Diceros bicornis minor: one gene and its partner. The protein of the gene in region 2 interacts with the protein of the main gene of each other region in a biochemical or structural test. Links are inferred from orthologs where the notes say so. Each region holds a gene or a part of one and is shown on either strand. Other genes may lie near its edges. The genes, in order: TESC and SLC9A1.

Evidence for each region.
Region 1: the proteins of SLC9A1 (region 2) and TESC form a complex in vitro, tested with the Homo sapiens proteins (4 studies listed by BioGRID and IntAct, with this or other methods). The link is inferred for Diceros bicornis minor from reciprocal best matches to the Homo sapiens genes SLC9A1 and TESC.

The regions. Positions count from the first base shown.
Region 1 is NC_080774.1:14,318,880-14,326,798, forward strand, and holds the start of TESC (calcineurin B homologous protein 3), read right to left. Parts: upstream 3,167-7,919; 5' UTR 3,064-3,166; coding exon 3,006-3,063; intron 1-3,005. UniProt on the Homo sapiens protein: Functions as an integral cofactor in cell pH regulation by controlling plasma membrane-type Na(+)/H(+) exchange activity. Promotes the maturation, transport, cell surface stability and exchange activity of SLC9A1/NHE1 at the plasma membrane.
Region 2 is NC_080752.1:42,843,728-42,850,942, forward strand, and holds the start of SLC9A1 (sodium/hydrogen exchanger 1), read right to left. Parts: upstream 3,087-7,215; 5' UTR 2,295-3,086; coding exon 1,943-2,294; intron 1-1,942. UniProt on the Homo sapiens protein: Electroneutral Na(+) /H(+) antiporter that extrudes Na(+) in exchange for external protons driven by the inward sodium ion chemical gradient, protecting cells from acidification that occurs from metabolism.

The DNA of each region.
Region 1 (7,919 bases), on a different chromosome or scaffold from region 2:
CATGCAAAGTGCTCGGCACAGAGCCTAGTGCTCAAGGAATGATGTCAACCATCACCATCCTACGCTCGCCCTGCTCATCGTTTCTGGATGGAGTCCTCAGGAAGGCACCAGGCTGATTCTTCAAATCAGGGACCACCTTGATGCTCAGAGAGGCGAGGGGAGCCTAGCAACCCTGTGGGCACAGCCTGCTCTCTGGCTGCCCTGGCCCTAGGCTCTTCCCCCATCTCAGGGATGCTTCCCAAGGGTTCTGCCCAGCCCTCAGGATCCTGGGAGCCGATGTTCCCATGCCAAGCCGAGTACTTCACAAATAGATACATACATACATCATCTTATTGATGGGGGCACCGATGCTCAGAGAGGTCGAGACTTGCTTACGCTCATGAAGCTGGTAAGAGTGACACAAAGTTTTAACTCTTAGCTGTGGCTTAGAGTGACCAGGCCATACAAATGTGTTTAAAGCATGACCAATAATACTCAACACTTTACATACATTCTCTCATTTACTCCTTCCCAACAATTGGGAGGAAGGTATGGCTACTATCCCCATTTTACAGTGGATGAAATTGGGGCACACAGAGCACAAATGACTTGCCCAAGTCCACGTACCTAACAAGACCCCTTAAATCGGGGTCCTGCCACTACCTGAGCCCTGATTATGGCTGTGTCCTCATCACATACAATTCTCATTTGTTGTCCTCAACTCCTTCCTGCCCAGGGCCTTTGCACGTGTTGTGCCCTCTGCCCGAAATGCACTTTCCACTGATTTTCACGTAGCTGTCTCCTTATTTGGATTTCTGCTCCATTATCACCTCCTCAGAGAGGCCCCCCTGGTCCACCCTAAAGACATGTTTCACCATCTCTCCCCCAACTCTCCTGCCACTGTATTGTATCTTGTTCACAGAGCTTGACACCTATGGGGTGATTTGTTTATGCCGTGTGCCTGCCCTCAGGAACATCAGCCTCTCTGGGTCACCTCTAAATCCCCAGCTCCTGGTCGATAAACACTTGCTGAATGGGTAAAAGTGTCCAGACTGTGCCACCCTTTCAGAAGACTACGGGGCACCTTCTACCTACTTAGAATTCAGAGGACTGAAGGTGTTCATCTCCCACAGCCTGACCTCAGAAGCCCTTCCCTGACCCCTGCAGTCTCCCTTCCCTCTTTAGGGTGTGAAATTTGAGTTCTGGGCAGCAAAAAGGGAAGCCACATCAGCCCCTTCTAGGAAAGCTACGGAGCAGGAACGCTCAGTATCTGCCTTCCCCGCGGAGACCGGACCCAGGAAACTGACAAGATTCCCAGCATGCTCTGCGCCTCATCACCTGTCAAACCCACAATGGGGTGGAATTCCCCCTACTGCCTGCTGTGGGCGCTGCCTGAGAGATGGGGCTGGTGGCCAGCCGCCCCTTCCTGGCAGATCCCAGCTGCAGAGAACCCCCGCCTCCACCCTGCAGATACCAGGCAGCCAGAGGACACTCAGGAAATAACAAAAGCAGGGGAAACCCAAGAAAGCCCAGGAAAGAGAAATCCTACCTCCTGGCTCACATTAAACCTTGGGGTCGCATCGGACTTGAGGAAACTTTTTGAAGAAGTAAAATATTCACACATGGTTCACAACGAAAACATTACAAAGTTCACAGTGAAAAGCTCACTCTCCCTTCATCCCCTCCACCAAATCCCCCAATAAGTATTCATTATTCCTACTTTCTTGTGGCTCCTTCCAGAGTCCTTGATGCCAATAAAGCAGTTCCCAATATATACTCTTAACTCCTTTTTTTAAACAAAAAGGGTTCCATATTTATATACTGCACCACACCCTTTTTTCTCCAGTTGCAGAGTTTTATATCTGTACCTAGAAAGATACACATATACGTATGTGTATGTATACACACACACACACACACACACCAGTTATTAACGGCTTTCTGTAATTTTCACCCAATTCTCCTGGAAAGAGGTGTTTAGATTGGGGGTCAGGAGGGGTCGTCTTTCAGCCCACACACACAGGCTGGGCCACCCCTCCGGTGATCAACTACGGACGCTGGCTGTCTGCACTACACTCAGAGCAGGCGCCGGGAGCCAGCTCCCTCCTGGACACAGTGTCTGCAGCTCCCATTTCTTGAGCATCTCCCAGGTACGAGCAGAACTCCCCTTCCAGAGAGAAGGAAACCGAGGCTCAGAGAGGCAGAGTGACTAGCCCAAGGTGACACCGTCAGGAAGCGGTGCCGGCAGGGCTCACACCCGGTCTGTCCACCACCAAAGCCAGTCAAGCGCGCAGCCCGGCTGGACTCGGGCGGACGGGCGCTTCCGCTGTCACTGGCCTGCGGTCGGCTGGCGCGGAGGTCCGGCCTCCCCGTGCGCCCCGCCCCGGGGCGCGCAGCCTCCGCCGGGGCCGGAGACCCGGGAGCTGGAGGAACGTCGCGGGCGCTGCCTCGCTTAAACCTCCCAGCCAGCCGGGGCGAGGCGGGCGCCTGAACCCATTTTACAGACGGAGGACGAAGGGAGGCGCAGAGAGCCCGGCTCACCTGCCTAACGTCACACGGCCGGGAGCGCCAGAGCCCGGCTCCCACGCGGGTCCCGCCGACTTCAGAACTTCCCGCCCCCTGCGCACCGTGGAGCCAAACGACTCTCAGGTGCGGGGCGCGCACCAGCGCGCATCCACGGACGCCCGCTCTCCCGGGCCGGGGCGCCCGCCCTGCGCTGGGGGAGCCCGGCCCCGCTCCCTCTCCGGCCCGCAGTCCCCAGGCCCGGGGCTTCCCAGCCAACTCCGAGAGCACCGAAGCTGAGCGGCGCGGCACTTACTCAGCGTCGCCGCGGGGCTCCTGGCCGCAGCCTGCCAAGCGGCCGGCGGGGACCCATTTGAAGGAGGGGGAGACTGAGGCGCAGAGAGGGCCAGCCACTCGCCCAAGGTCACACAGCGCGGCGGCGGCGGGCTGGGAGCCCCCGGGCCAGCCAGCCGGCCGGCGGTCCCCGCTCCGGTCCCCGCGCCCGTGCCCCGCGGGGTACTCACAGCCGGTCTTGCCCACGAGCTCCCGCACCTCCTCGGACGCGGAGTGGGCAGCGCCCATGGTGTCCGCAGCGGGGGCCCGGGGGCGCGCGTCCCTCGCAGGCGCCGGGCTGGCGTCGCCTGCGCAGCGGCCGGTCCGCCCTCGGGTCCAGCGCGGGCCGGGACGCGGGCACCGGTCTCAGCCGCGGTTCCGCGTGGGGCCCCAGCGCGGCCTCTTATAGCGGCGGCGGGCGGCGCGCCGCGGTCCTAGCGCGCGCCGGCTTCGCGCACTGCGGGCAGGGGGAGCGGCCCGCGCGGGGCCGGAAACGGCGGGGAGGGGGACCCAGCAGCCCACCGCCAAGGTTCCTCGCTCCCCAAAGCAGCGGCCGTGCTCGTCGCGCCTCGCCGTTCCGCACCCTTGCCGGCTCTGGAGAGAAGCAGGTGTGAGCAGAGTTGGGGTGCAGGTAGGAGGGCTCCGGCAAAGTGAGAGCCCGGGAGGTTTCCCTGCCCACCCCCACCCCGGTTCCAGCACACATCCTCCCAGACCTCAGGAGCGAAACTCCCCTGGGACAGTGAAGGAAGACGGGAGCATTAATTCGTTCTGTGCTGAACAGCAATCAAGGGAATATAAAAATAGGACTCCAACTTGAATGCGCGTTGGGGGCTCGTTCCACCAAGTCCCCTCCGCCTCCCCAGCACCCTGCTGAAGTGGACACACCCACGTGCCAGACCGGCCCATCCTGGCGGCCCAGCCCAGGAGCTCGGGGTGGCGGTGTTGTCAAATTTTAGGAGCAGGGAGGTCCGCCCCCCCGATTCTGACTCAGGCGGGGACCCCCGGGGCGGGGGGGGGGGGGTTGCATTTCAGCCAAACTGCCCAAGAGCTTCGATGCAGGTGGACCTCGAGCCTACTGGGCGAAGTTCTGCGTTAAGATTCCTCGGGTTCAGTAGCCAGGCTGGGTGGCCAGCGCCAGTCCGGCCACCTGTCTGACTATGATTCCTTCTCCTAAAATGGGGATAATATAGTTAATGAGATGTCTATGAGAAGGGCCTGCCATGGGACACAGCACAAAGTCGTCTCTGTGGAGTCATGTCCACTTCACAAGGGAGGACTGATTCTCAGGGAGGTCACACAGGGCAGAAATTCGGAGTCCACACTTTCTGGTTCTCAAGGCCAGGCCTTCGGGCTCCATCGTGCTTGGTGACTTGGCCATCAATGATCGGCATGCATACAGTGTCTGTCCTGGGCGCCAGGCTCTGATAGGGCTGGGGTGCGGGCGCGGGTCCTTCGGGGCTCCCAGGTGGAGACTTGGATGGGCCCACCCACATCAGCTTCCCAGGGCACTGGGGAGGAGGTGTCCATACCTGTAGACCACAGGCCCAAGCAGAGGGTCACAGCCCTTTCCCGGGCAGGGTGCCTTTCAGAGCCACCAGGGGGCTCCTGAAACCTGCCAGAGCAGCGGTATCTGCCTGTTCCCCTCTGGTGGCATTCACAGAGCTGGGCAGCACCTGGAAGCTGCATTATAAAAACTCCCTTGGGCGGAGCTGAGGCCTAGTCAGGCTGGGGAAATGTTGGCTGTGGGGCATCGGCTGGTCTGAGTGAACCGGAAAGCTGACCCAGAGACTGCCTTTCGGGTCAGGATTCTAGAAACCCAGACTGGCCTCTGGGGTCAGGAAAGGGGTCCCCTTGGGAGATGTGGGCCCCTGAGCCAGCCCACTACCCACAACTGCTGGGAATGATTTTATTCTGGCTTACAATATCGGTTCCCGGAATTGTATTATATTAAATGATCCCAGGATTAAATGATGGGGCTTTCTGCTGGGGAGACAGAAAATGGTGCTCTCCTGACTGTGTCTCCTCCCCCTTGGCATGGTGGCTCCCAGAGCTAGAGGCAGGGCAGGTAGGTGGGGAGGAAGACCTGCGACAGTGCTCTGGGGCAGGGAGGGGGCACATGGCTTCACTCTGCCGCTCGGGGGATCACGGAGAGGCCCCCAGTGTGTGGGGTGAAGGGAGCCCGTCTTTACTTCATCACCTGTCTACACCGTCAACCTTGTCTCCCCACTGGCCGCCCTCAGCTCCTAGATGAACACATACACTTGTTCGTTCGGCCTGGAGCTCCCTCCCCTCCCCCTTCCCCAGGCCGGGCTTCCTCTTCAGATCGCAGCGTGATCACCTCCTCCCAGAGGCCTCCGCAGGGCCCCCATCCGCTCTCCTGGGTCTCCTGCCAAACAAGCCGCCTTCGCCAGCCTGCGGGGAGCTGAAAGAGAGGAAGCCTGGGGTGTTCTGACCACGGAGAATTTTTTTCCTCATTGCAGGGCTTGGAGAAATAATCAGGAACACCTTGTGGCAGCAGGAAAGTGGGGACAACAAGGCACAATTTGGGGGTTTGCGCGTTCATTTATTCATTGCACATATATTGAGGCCCTGCTGTGTTTAGAGCCCTGGCTGGTCCTGGAGCCACAACCGGGGATAACCAGCAGCCACACTTTCACTCCTAAGAACTCTTGAAGGAGTGCGGAGACAGAGACACAGGAGGTGACAAGGCAGGGGTAAACACGGGCTGACTTGGGCTCTCGCAGGGCCGCGGAGATCTGGAGTGTTCGAGCCAGAATGGCCCCTGGAGAGAGTCTGCTATCCCTTAAGCTGAGCTTCGGGGAGTCCATGATTGTCCCCAACTGTGGTCCCAAAGCCACACACCAAAGGCAAATACTGGGTGGAGAGACGAATCTGTGAGATTTGGGGGCCCCGCAGTGGCACCCACCCTCCTCTACCTGGGCGTTGCCCCCTCCTCTGGCAATGATGCACAGACGCCGCAGGGCTCCGTCCACACAAAGCCTGCTGCCGCCAGTTCCAGGACATCACGGCATTAATTCAATCCTCCCAGTGGCTCTGTCGGCGTCAGAGCACGAAGGAGGTCTGGCGCTCTGCATGGGGTCTGGCCCGGCTGATTGGATCTGTTGTCTGGAGCCATGGCACAGAGGCACCCCGTGTGGTGATCTTTATCCTCCCATCACACAGCGTGACCTTCTGAGGGCTGGCAAACACTTCAGTCACCAGGCTGAAGTGTTCTCCTTCTCCTGGAGGAGCTGATTAAAAACAGTGGCCGCAATTAGAAGGGCTGGTACCTGTGAGGCCCGGAAGGGCAGCTGAGCCCAGAGATGGAGAGGATGGTCCTCATTCGGCTCTCCCACATTCCTGTCTGGGAAGAAGACTCCCGAACCAAACTTGGGCAAGTGACTTCACCTCCCTGGGCCTCAGTTTCCCCATCTGTAAAATGGCAATAATAATGCTGCCTTCCTCAGGGTGCTTATGGGGGTGAAATGTGGATATTTGTAAAGTGCTTCAAACAGCGTGTAGGTAGCCAGGCTCTGAAAGGGAGAGAGGAAGCCCTGATGTGTAGCGTTTGCCAATTTCCGTGGTGTAAATACTCCCACTGTGGTCAATTTCAAGCTACCAATAATTTAATAGCTGGCTTGCAAAACTCCTGAATGTTTAACAATTCGCTCTTGCAAGCTGGTCCGAGACAAGTCAGCACACCACTACACAGTAGACTGTTATTATTATTCATATGTTCCTTCATTCATTCATGTACTCACTATTGAGGGCCAGAAATTGGGACACTACAGTGAAGGAGTCAGTCTCTACCCTCAGGGATCCCAGAGTCTGGAAGGACAGAGAGAAGCAGACCATCACTAATGGGTAGTACACTAATGGATACTGGATGCTGTGGGATCCTGGAGGAGAGGCACGCGACACAGGTACATTTCATTGATGGGAAAACCAAGGTGCTCAGAATGGGCGGTAAACCAGAATCAGAGAGCAGATAGGAAGTTGTGTAATGGCAGTTCCTGTAATGTACCCGTCTCACTCTCCTGTCCCTCTGATCACTTAGCTTGGGGGTACCCCCAAGGCTTGGCAATGTTCTGGGAGCAACAAGACACTTTTCTTAATCTTTGGGCCACTGACCCCAAGAAATTTATGGGGAATCCAAGTGCCATCTCCGTTGGCCTCTGACTTAGAGAAGACCACACCTAAACCACTTCAAACAAGTAAGGATTAGTGATGCTTTTGTAAAATGTATCTGGGCATGGCGGGGGTGGTGGTTGGATGGGGAGACCCGCAGGTGCCTTATGCCAGCGTCTTGGCTCTGACACACACAGTTTTAAGCTCATTCAGCCTCCTTCTGCTGGTTTCATATGTCTTGGTCTCTTGGTTTTAATGTCAATGGAATCAGAGATGAATCATCCCCGGGTTGTACTTTGAATTAAAGTTGTCCTTTGCGTCATTTTTTAAACAATCCTTTTTCACCCAAGGCACCCCGATCTTTTAAGCTAACCTTGGGCAACAGCATGCTGTAGGAGATAGATTCAGATCTGAGTTGGATCCCTGCTCTGCCATTCCTGGTGTGTGCCCTTGCGTTCGTTCCTTTGCCACTCTGAACTGTGGTGTCCTCATCTGTATAATAGGTCCACAATCCCACCTTTATCAAGAGGATTCAGCCAGGGTGAAACGGCTGGAATGCAGCACACCCTCCACAACTGTTCATTCCCTCCCTTGGGGGCAAATATCCAGGACTGTATAGCCCGCCTCGCTCTCCTCTTTCTGTTAGCCCTGCATTCCTCTCTTCCCCACGATTCTTAGGGAGACAAATGAACAGAATTCACACTTGAACCTCTGTCCAGCCCCCACTTCTTATTAAATCATTTCCGGTCTTGGGAAAGAATAGTTGTTTCTTCTCTTCGTTTTCTGAGAGGTTTCAACTCACCCCTGAGTTGGAAAATCGTGTCCTCTCGACTGCCTGGGATGAGGGTCCTTCTGGGTGTCCAGCTTCCCAGACCCTTCAGCTCCCAGTGAAGTGCCTCCTGCCCTCCCAGGCTGCCCTGCGCCAGCATCTACGTCACAGCCCAGACCGCAGAAGGATGCAGCTCCACGGGAGGGAG
Region 2 (7,215 bases):
CGGCAGAAATGTCACACCTGGAAGGGGCCACACAGATCAAGTGACAGATGGAGACACATGACTGCCCCAAGGTCATAGAGGGAGGTGGGAGCTTCCTAACTTCCAGACTGGTACCCTTGCCATGGCACCATCCCTGTTCTCCAGCTGCCCAGGGTCCCTGGCACAGGTTCTGGTACAGACAAAGCAGGCCAAGTCTGACCCCGTTAGAACTAGAGATATCAGGCCTGCAGGGACAAACTCCTGACTGCCCAGAGTAGGAACTTTTTGGTCATGCTGTCATCCCACCAGGAGGCACTGAGACCTGCAGTGTGGGTACCAGCCCCAAGACCCTAACACAACGCCAGATGTGGTTGGAGAGAGGACAGCAAACCATAGACAGTGCTTGTGAGGTCTCCTCCTGGTCTCACACAGGCAAATGACACATCACAGTCACTTCAGTTTCTTACAACAAATTAAGATACAAGTTTCATGACTCAATTGAAATGGTCAAATTTAGAGAGTCTTGCCAGTTTCACTGGTGCACGAGACCTTCAGGAAAAGGCCCCAGCTTGTTCAAGGTCATGTATTTGTCAGAATCAGTACACATGGCTCCCTTGCCCAGTCCCTGATTTTTTCCAGGAAGCTGGCTGCCATCAGGGTATAGGTACTGATGGCCCAGTTCCATGTACAGGCCCTGCTACTGTCACAGCACTAAAGCCCCGCACCAGGAAGCCAGCTTCTGGATCTGTCAAAACAGAGTGGACTCCTGCAGCATGTCCCAGAGCCTGCCTCACACCAGCCTGGCATTGCCAGCTCCTGCATGTCCTTGGGCAAGCTACAAGGCTTCCTGCCAGGAGTCACAAACTCCCCAAATCCAAACCAGCAGAGTCTCAGGCCCTCATGCCTTCCACATCAAACCAGGGGTAAAAAAAGCTAAGGCAGCTTTCAAAGCCCCCCTGGACACACTTCCAGGGACTTCTGGGCTATGCAGACTCAGGGGAGCTCCATCAATCACCCTGCAGAAAAGTAGTCAGGCCTAGCAGGGAGACCAACCTTCTGGAAGAGAATGACTTTTCTGTTTCCTTCTCCCAAAAAGAACATTTCAAAGTCTCTTCAGACCAGAACATCCTGAGCCCCTCCACCTGTCCATCTCCCACTTGGCTGAATGGCAGGCCAACGTGAGTGGCCAGCCCAGACAGCACCTTGAGACACAGTCGGGTGCCAACCCAGAGGTGAGCTGGGGCTAGACTACACTTCAACTTCCTCCACTCCCTCTCCACCCGCAAACAGACTTCAGAAATTTCCAGGGCCCCCTGTCCCATAAATTGTATATGGGATGGTATTCCTGGGCCGGAAACTGACTCAGGGGCTCCCGACTAGCCTGGGCAGGCAAAACTGACAGATAACACTCTGGGGACAAAGAAGGTGAGAATATGGGGATCCCTCATGTTCCACCACACTTCTAGGTCTCCATCACACAGGTCCCCCACTATACTCAAACTCCTTAGCCAGGCCAAGTAGAAATACACTCCCTCCTGGGACACTCTCCCACGAAGCATGGAAATGCACTGGTTGCAGCTGACAGAGCAGACTGTGCCGCTTGCTGGAAGACACTCTTCTCTGTCTCACACACAGCTGGTGCCTGGCTCCCCTCGGGGTCTGGCCCAACCAAAGGAGACTTGCCAGGCCTGGAAGCCTTGCTGAAGGTATCTCGTATCAGAAGCATCCCATGCTCTAACCCTGTTTTCTCCCATGCACAATGCTGGCTCTAATCTTGGGGGGACCTCAGACCATAGAAGTCACAGAGATAGAGTTTGAAGAGAACCAAGATGGCAGAATGGAGGTTGCCGACGTTACACGGGTAGTCCAGATCCTTATTCCTGAGCAGCCTCAAGTGGTAAGGAGGAGGCAAGAAGCTCAACAATTTGGTGGCAGAGGAAGCAGTGGAGCAAACTGGACTTACCTATCTTCATGAGGCAGGCCAGCAGGATCCAGAGGGAGATCTCGAAGGGTGTACGCACGTGTGAGTAGTCGATGCCCAGGACTGGAAAGGCCTTTCGAGTCTTCATGCTATGTTCAGTGACGGAATGGTTAACAGGGCGACTCTCAGGGGTGAGCTCTGGTGGGGCGGTGGTGACATCCCCAATGGAGCGTTCCCGTGGTGGCTCTGAGCCACGGATGGTGCTGGCAGTAGGGCTGGGCTGCAGGCCATGACTCCTGAGGACAGGTAGCAGCCCCACCAAGGCTACCAACACGAACAACGAAGGGAAGATTCGGGGAGGAGAGAGGCCAGGGATGCCAGACCACAGAAGCATTGTGTTGCTCCCTCCGCCCAGTAGGCCTTGACCCTTAGCAAAGTGAGAGTAAGACCTGGGACATAGGTTGCAAGGGGTCAGCAGGTGGGAAGAGAGACTGCAGTAGTCTCTAGGAAAAGTTCATGTTTTAGAAAGGAATTTTTGTGGAAGGAGTCCTCTGCAGGTGGAGGGAGGCTGGGTTCACGATGTAGAACTCCAAAATGGGGAAAAGGGACAAGGACCCAGGAAGGACCAGAAAAGGAGACCAAAAGGTCTGGAAGCCTGAGAAAGCAGGAGTGGGGAAGGGACTGCACCTTGGGTCAGAGGAAGGGACAGGATAGGTTGAACCCCAAGCAAGGAAAAGGAAGAGGGAAGGCTGGGACCCTCGGCCGAGGAAAGTGACTTGAGGAGCTGACTCGGCTTAAGGGAAGGGGCAGGGAGCCTGAGCTAAAGGAAGGGGACCGAAGAGGGTGGGACCCTGTCCAGGAAAAGAAAAGAGGGGGCTGGGAGCCCAGGCTGCGAGGAAGGAGTGAAGCTGGAAAGCGGCCGGGAGCTTCCCCACCCAGAGAACGGCCGGGATGCAGGCGCGCCGGGCTGAGATTCCGGGGAAACGGAGGGAGGTGGAAGGCGGAGGCAGGCGGCCTGGCGGGAGGGCGCCTCGGCGCGGGCTGGGGGCGGCTCGCGGTGGGCCAGCAACAACACGCCCCTCCTTGCGGCCCCGGCGCGGCGCTCCGCTCCGCCCCGGCCCAGCTTCAGTTCCTCCGCGACCAGCTCCAGATCTAGACCTGACCCCGGCCCCAGCCCCGGTGGCGGCAGACTGATGCCTCGCTGAGCCCGGCGCTGTTACTTATAGGCACCAGCGAGCAGCCAGCGCAGCGGGCTAGAAGGATCTGTCAGAGCCCGCGCAGCGCAGCGACCCCTGTCGCCCAGGGGAGGAAGTATCGCATAGACAGAGGAAGGAGAGTCAGAGACGGCAAAAGTCCCGAATCTACAGAGATTCGAACATGGGTAAAATGTTTTCACGTCCACATCCACAATCTCATGAAGGCGTCCCAATAATCTTGTGAAGGATGTATTATTATTTTATGTGTTTAGTTAACATGTGACCTTGAGCAAGTTACTTAACCTCTCTGTTCCATAGCTTTCTCATCTATAAAGTGGAGATACTAGGAGTACCTATATCAGAGGGATACTGTGATGACTAAATGAGATAATCTATGTAAGGTGTTTAGAATGGAGCCTGGCACAGAGAACCACTATTATGGTTCCAGTTTTGCAGATGAGGAAACAGCTGAAGAGAGTTCCTTAGCTACTACGTAAATAGTTGTGTCTGTTTGCTAGGGCTGCTGTAACAAAGTACCACACACTGGGTGGCTTAAAGAACAGAAATTTATTGTCTCGTATTCTGGAGGCTAGAGGTCTGAAATCAAGGAGTTGGCAGAGTTAATTCCTTTGGAGAGCTGTGAGGGAAAATCTGTTCCATGCCTCTCTCCTAGCTCCTGGTGGTTTGTGGACAATCTTGGGTGTTCCGTGATTGCGGCAGCACAACTCCAAACTTCACAAGGTGATCTCCCTGTGTCTCTGTCTCTGGGTCCAAATTTCCCCTTTTTTACAAGGTACCAGTCAGACCGGACTAGGGGCCCACATGAATAACCTCATCTGAATTTGATCATCTTCAGTAACTCTATTTCCAAATAAGACTATATTCACATGTACTGGGGGTTAGAACTTCAACATCTTTTGAGAGGACACAATTCATCCCCTAGCAGTAGTGGAACTGAGATTTGAACATACAGTGTTGGTTGGAATCGGTAAGATTCAAGAGGTCACGGCTGTGTACTGGAATCATTGGAAAACTTTTAAAAACTACCATTGCTTGGGACACTCCTTCAGAGATTTGGATTCAGTTGCTCTAGGATAGTGCCCAAGCATGATGGATATTTTTTCAAAAGTTCCTCCAGGTGATTCTAATGTACAACTAGGGCTGACAACTATTGACATTACATCCCTGTTTTGCAGAATAGTAAATCAAGGCCAAGAAAGTCAAAGTGACTAGCTCGAGATCACAAAATGATTTCAAAAGAGTTCAGTTCAATTTAGCAAATATTTACTGGGCCTCTTGTCAGGGTTTTGTGCTGGGCTCTAGCAACACAGAAATAAGACATGAGGAAGAAAGAGGTGGGAGTGATTGGAGGGGGCAGAAAGGGGGCGCAACAAGAGGTTTTAGGGTGCTGATAATGTTCTATTTCTTTACCGGGTGGTGGTTACAAATGTTACACAGATACAGTTGTTTTGTGATAACTCATCGAGCACTCATAATTTGGGCAAGTTTCTTGAGAAATGCCATTCTTCCACAAAAAGCTATATTAAAATGATAATATGGGCCGGCCCTGTGGCTTAGCGGTTAAGTGCACACGCTCCGCTGCTGGCAGCCGGGGGTTCGGATCCCGGGCGTGCACCGACACACCACTTCTCCAGCCATGCTGAGGCCGCGTCCCACATACAGCAACTAGAAGGATGTGCAGCTATGACATACAACTATCTACTGGGGCTTTGGGGGAAAAAAATAAATAAATAAAATTATAAAAATAAATAAATAAATAAAATGATGATACAGTGATGTGACAGTGACTGAAGGTGCCAACACTAAACTGAATTCTCTGTCTCTCACATTCTCCTGGCACAGGTCCAGCCACTTGGGAGATGATGGAAGAGCCTAGAAGAGACTTCAGAGAAGGCCAAGGGCCTGTGTCACCTGGGAGCAAATGAAAGGAGAACATCAGCTATAATGGAAATAATCAGAGAATAACAGCATTTAGAGCAAGGATCAGAATATGACAATAATGTCTCACAATGGTTCAGTCCTGTATAGTTCACAACCAAGTGCCCAGGTTTATCGACCATCTGAGTCCTTGTGCATAGTGGGCCTCAATAAATAGTAGCTACTATTCTTATTTCCATTTTACAGATGAAAAAACTAAGACTCAGAGACATGAAGCCATTTGGCCAAGGTCACCCAGCTATTAGTAGGAGATCCAGGACTCAAGTCAGCTTTCTAATATCCAAAACACCACAGGTTCAGTGTAGAAAAAAGAAGACAGAGAAAGGATGAGGCTGGTGGAGGGACTTTCCACAGGTGACACAGGGCCAGAATCCTCAGACCTATAGTCCTTTCCAGTCTCAAGGGCAACGTTCACTGGTGCACACTGATCCTCCATACTCTCTGACTCTCCCTCATTCCAGGCCTCAGTGAGTCCTTGGGTGCCAGCCTGGGAGGTAGCAGAACCCCAGAGGGCCAGGAAATGCCAGCCCTGAGATCCTCTACAGCCTGGAGAAGGTTATAACAACATGAAAGTACCAAGAAAGAGCCCTGAGGGAAACCACCTGGGACAGCCCATGGCCAAGGCCCAGCCCAGGCAGTATAGCATAAGAGTTAAGCACAGGGGTTGCCTACCGTGGATAGCCAGATTGTCTAGGTTCAGATTCAGCAACACCACTCACTAGTTATAAGACCTTGAGTAAATCAATCAACCTCCTTGTTCCACAGTTCCTTCCTCCGTAACGTGTGGGCAATAATAGTACCAATCTCATGGGGCTGTTATGAGGATATTAGCCAATGTACATACAGCCCTTGGAGCAGCACTCAGCAATGTACCACATATATTTACTCTCATTATCTTTATTTACATGTACCAAGGGCCTCAAATGTAGACTTTTGATGTGAGGGTCACGTGAAATTAGGCATTCAGTTACAGAGACACATTGATAGGCTAGAAGCAAGACTCTTAGGTCTGTGAAATTGGTCCCATATTCAAACCATACCACTTACAGCATGATATAAATTTAATAATTTTAGATAAATTATACTGCTGTGTATTTGCATGTTAAAAGCATGGTCTTGTTAAAGGTAAACAGTTAAAATATAATGCAATATTTGTAACCCTGTTTTAGCAAGTCCTCACTTTTTTTTGTGTGTGTGTGAGGAAGATTAGCTCTGAGCTAACATCCGATGGAAATCCTCATCTTTCTGCTGAGGAAGATTGACCCTGGGCTAACATCTGTGCCCATCTTTCTCTGCTTTATGTGCGACGCCACCACAGCATAGCTTGACAAGCGGTGCGTCGGTGTGCGCCCAGGATCCGAACCTGCAAAACCCTGCGTCGCCAAGTGCAGTGCACGCACTTAACCACTACCCCACCAGGCCGGCACCACTCATTTTTTAATTATTCCAGGCCCACGCTGCTCTTGACTCAGAGAGGCCACTCTCTGCAGACCCTTCTTCCTGAAGATCTTGGACAGTCTCAGGATGCCTGGGCCGTGGGCGGCATCTCCCCCTGCTTAGACTGTGTCTGCTCCCCATCCTCTCATTGCATCCTTTCACTGAAAGTGATGAGAATTTTACGGAATTGCTATGGCTATGACACCAACAGATACATGGCAAATAATGTGTCGTATGAGGAAAGGATCTGCTGGGCCACTTACTAGCTGTACATCATGGGCGAGTCACTTTTTGTTTCTGTCACTCAGTTTGTTCATGTGTATAAAAGGTAGGTGGGGTCATAATACCTTCCTTGTAAGGTTATTGCAAGGATTAAATGCCGCTGTATGTCAAGCCCAGTTCCTGGCACATAGTTGGCACTCAGTAACTGAGTTCATTTCTTTCTTTCCTTTGTTGTAGAAAATCACAGCCCTGCAATGCCTTCTTCTTCCAATCTCCCCTTCACTCACTCCACTCCAACCACATTGCCTCTGTGCTATTTCTCAAATACTGCCAGCCACACTTCTGCCTCAGCGCCTTAGCACTTGCTGTTCCTTCTACCTGGAACACTCTTCCCTGGATATCCACTTGGCTCGCTCCCTCACATCTTTCAAGCCTTTCCACACATCTCCCTTCTTGACGCTACTACATGGTAACTCTAACTAATAGTGACACTTCTCCTGC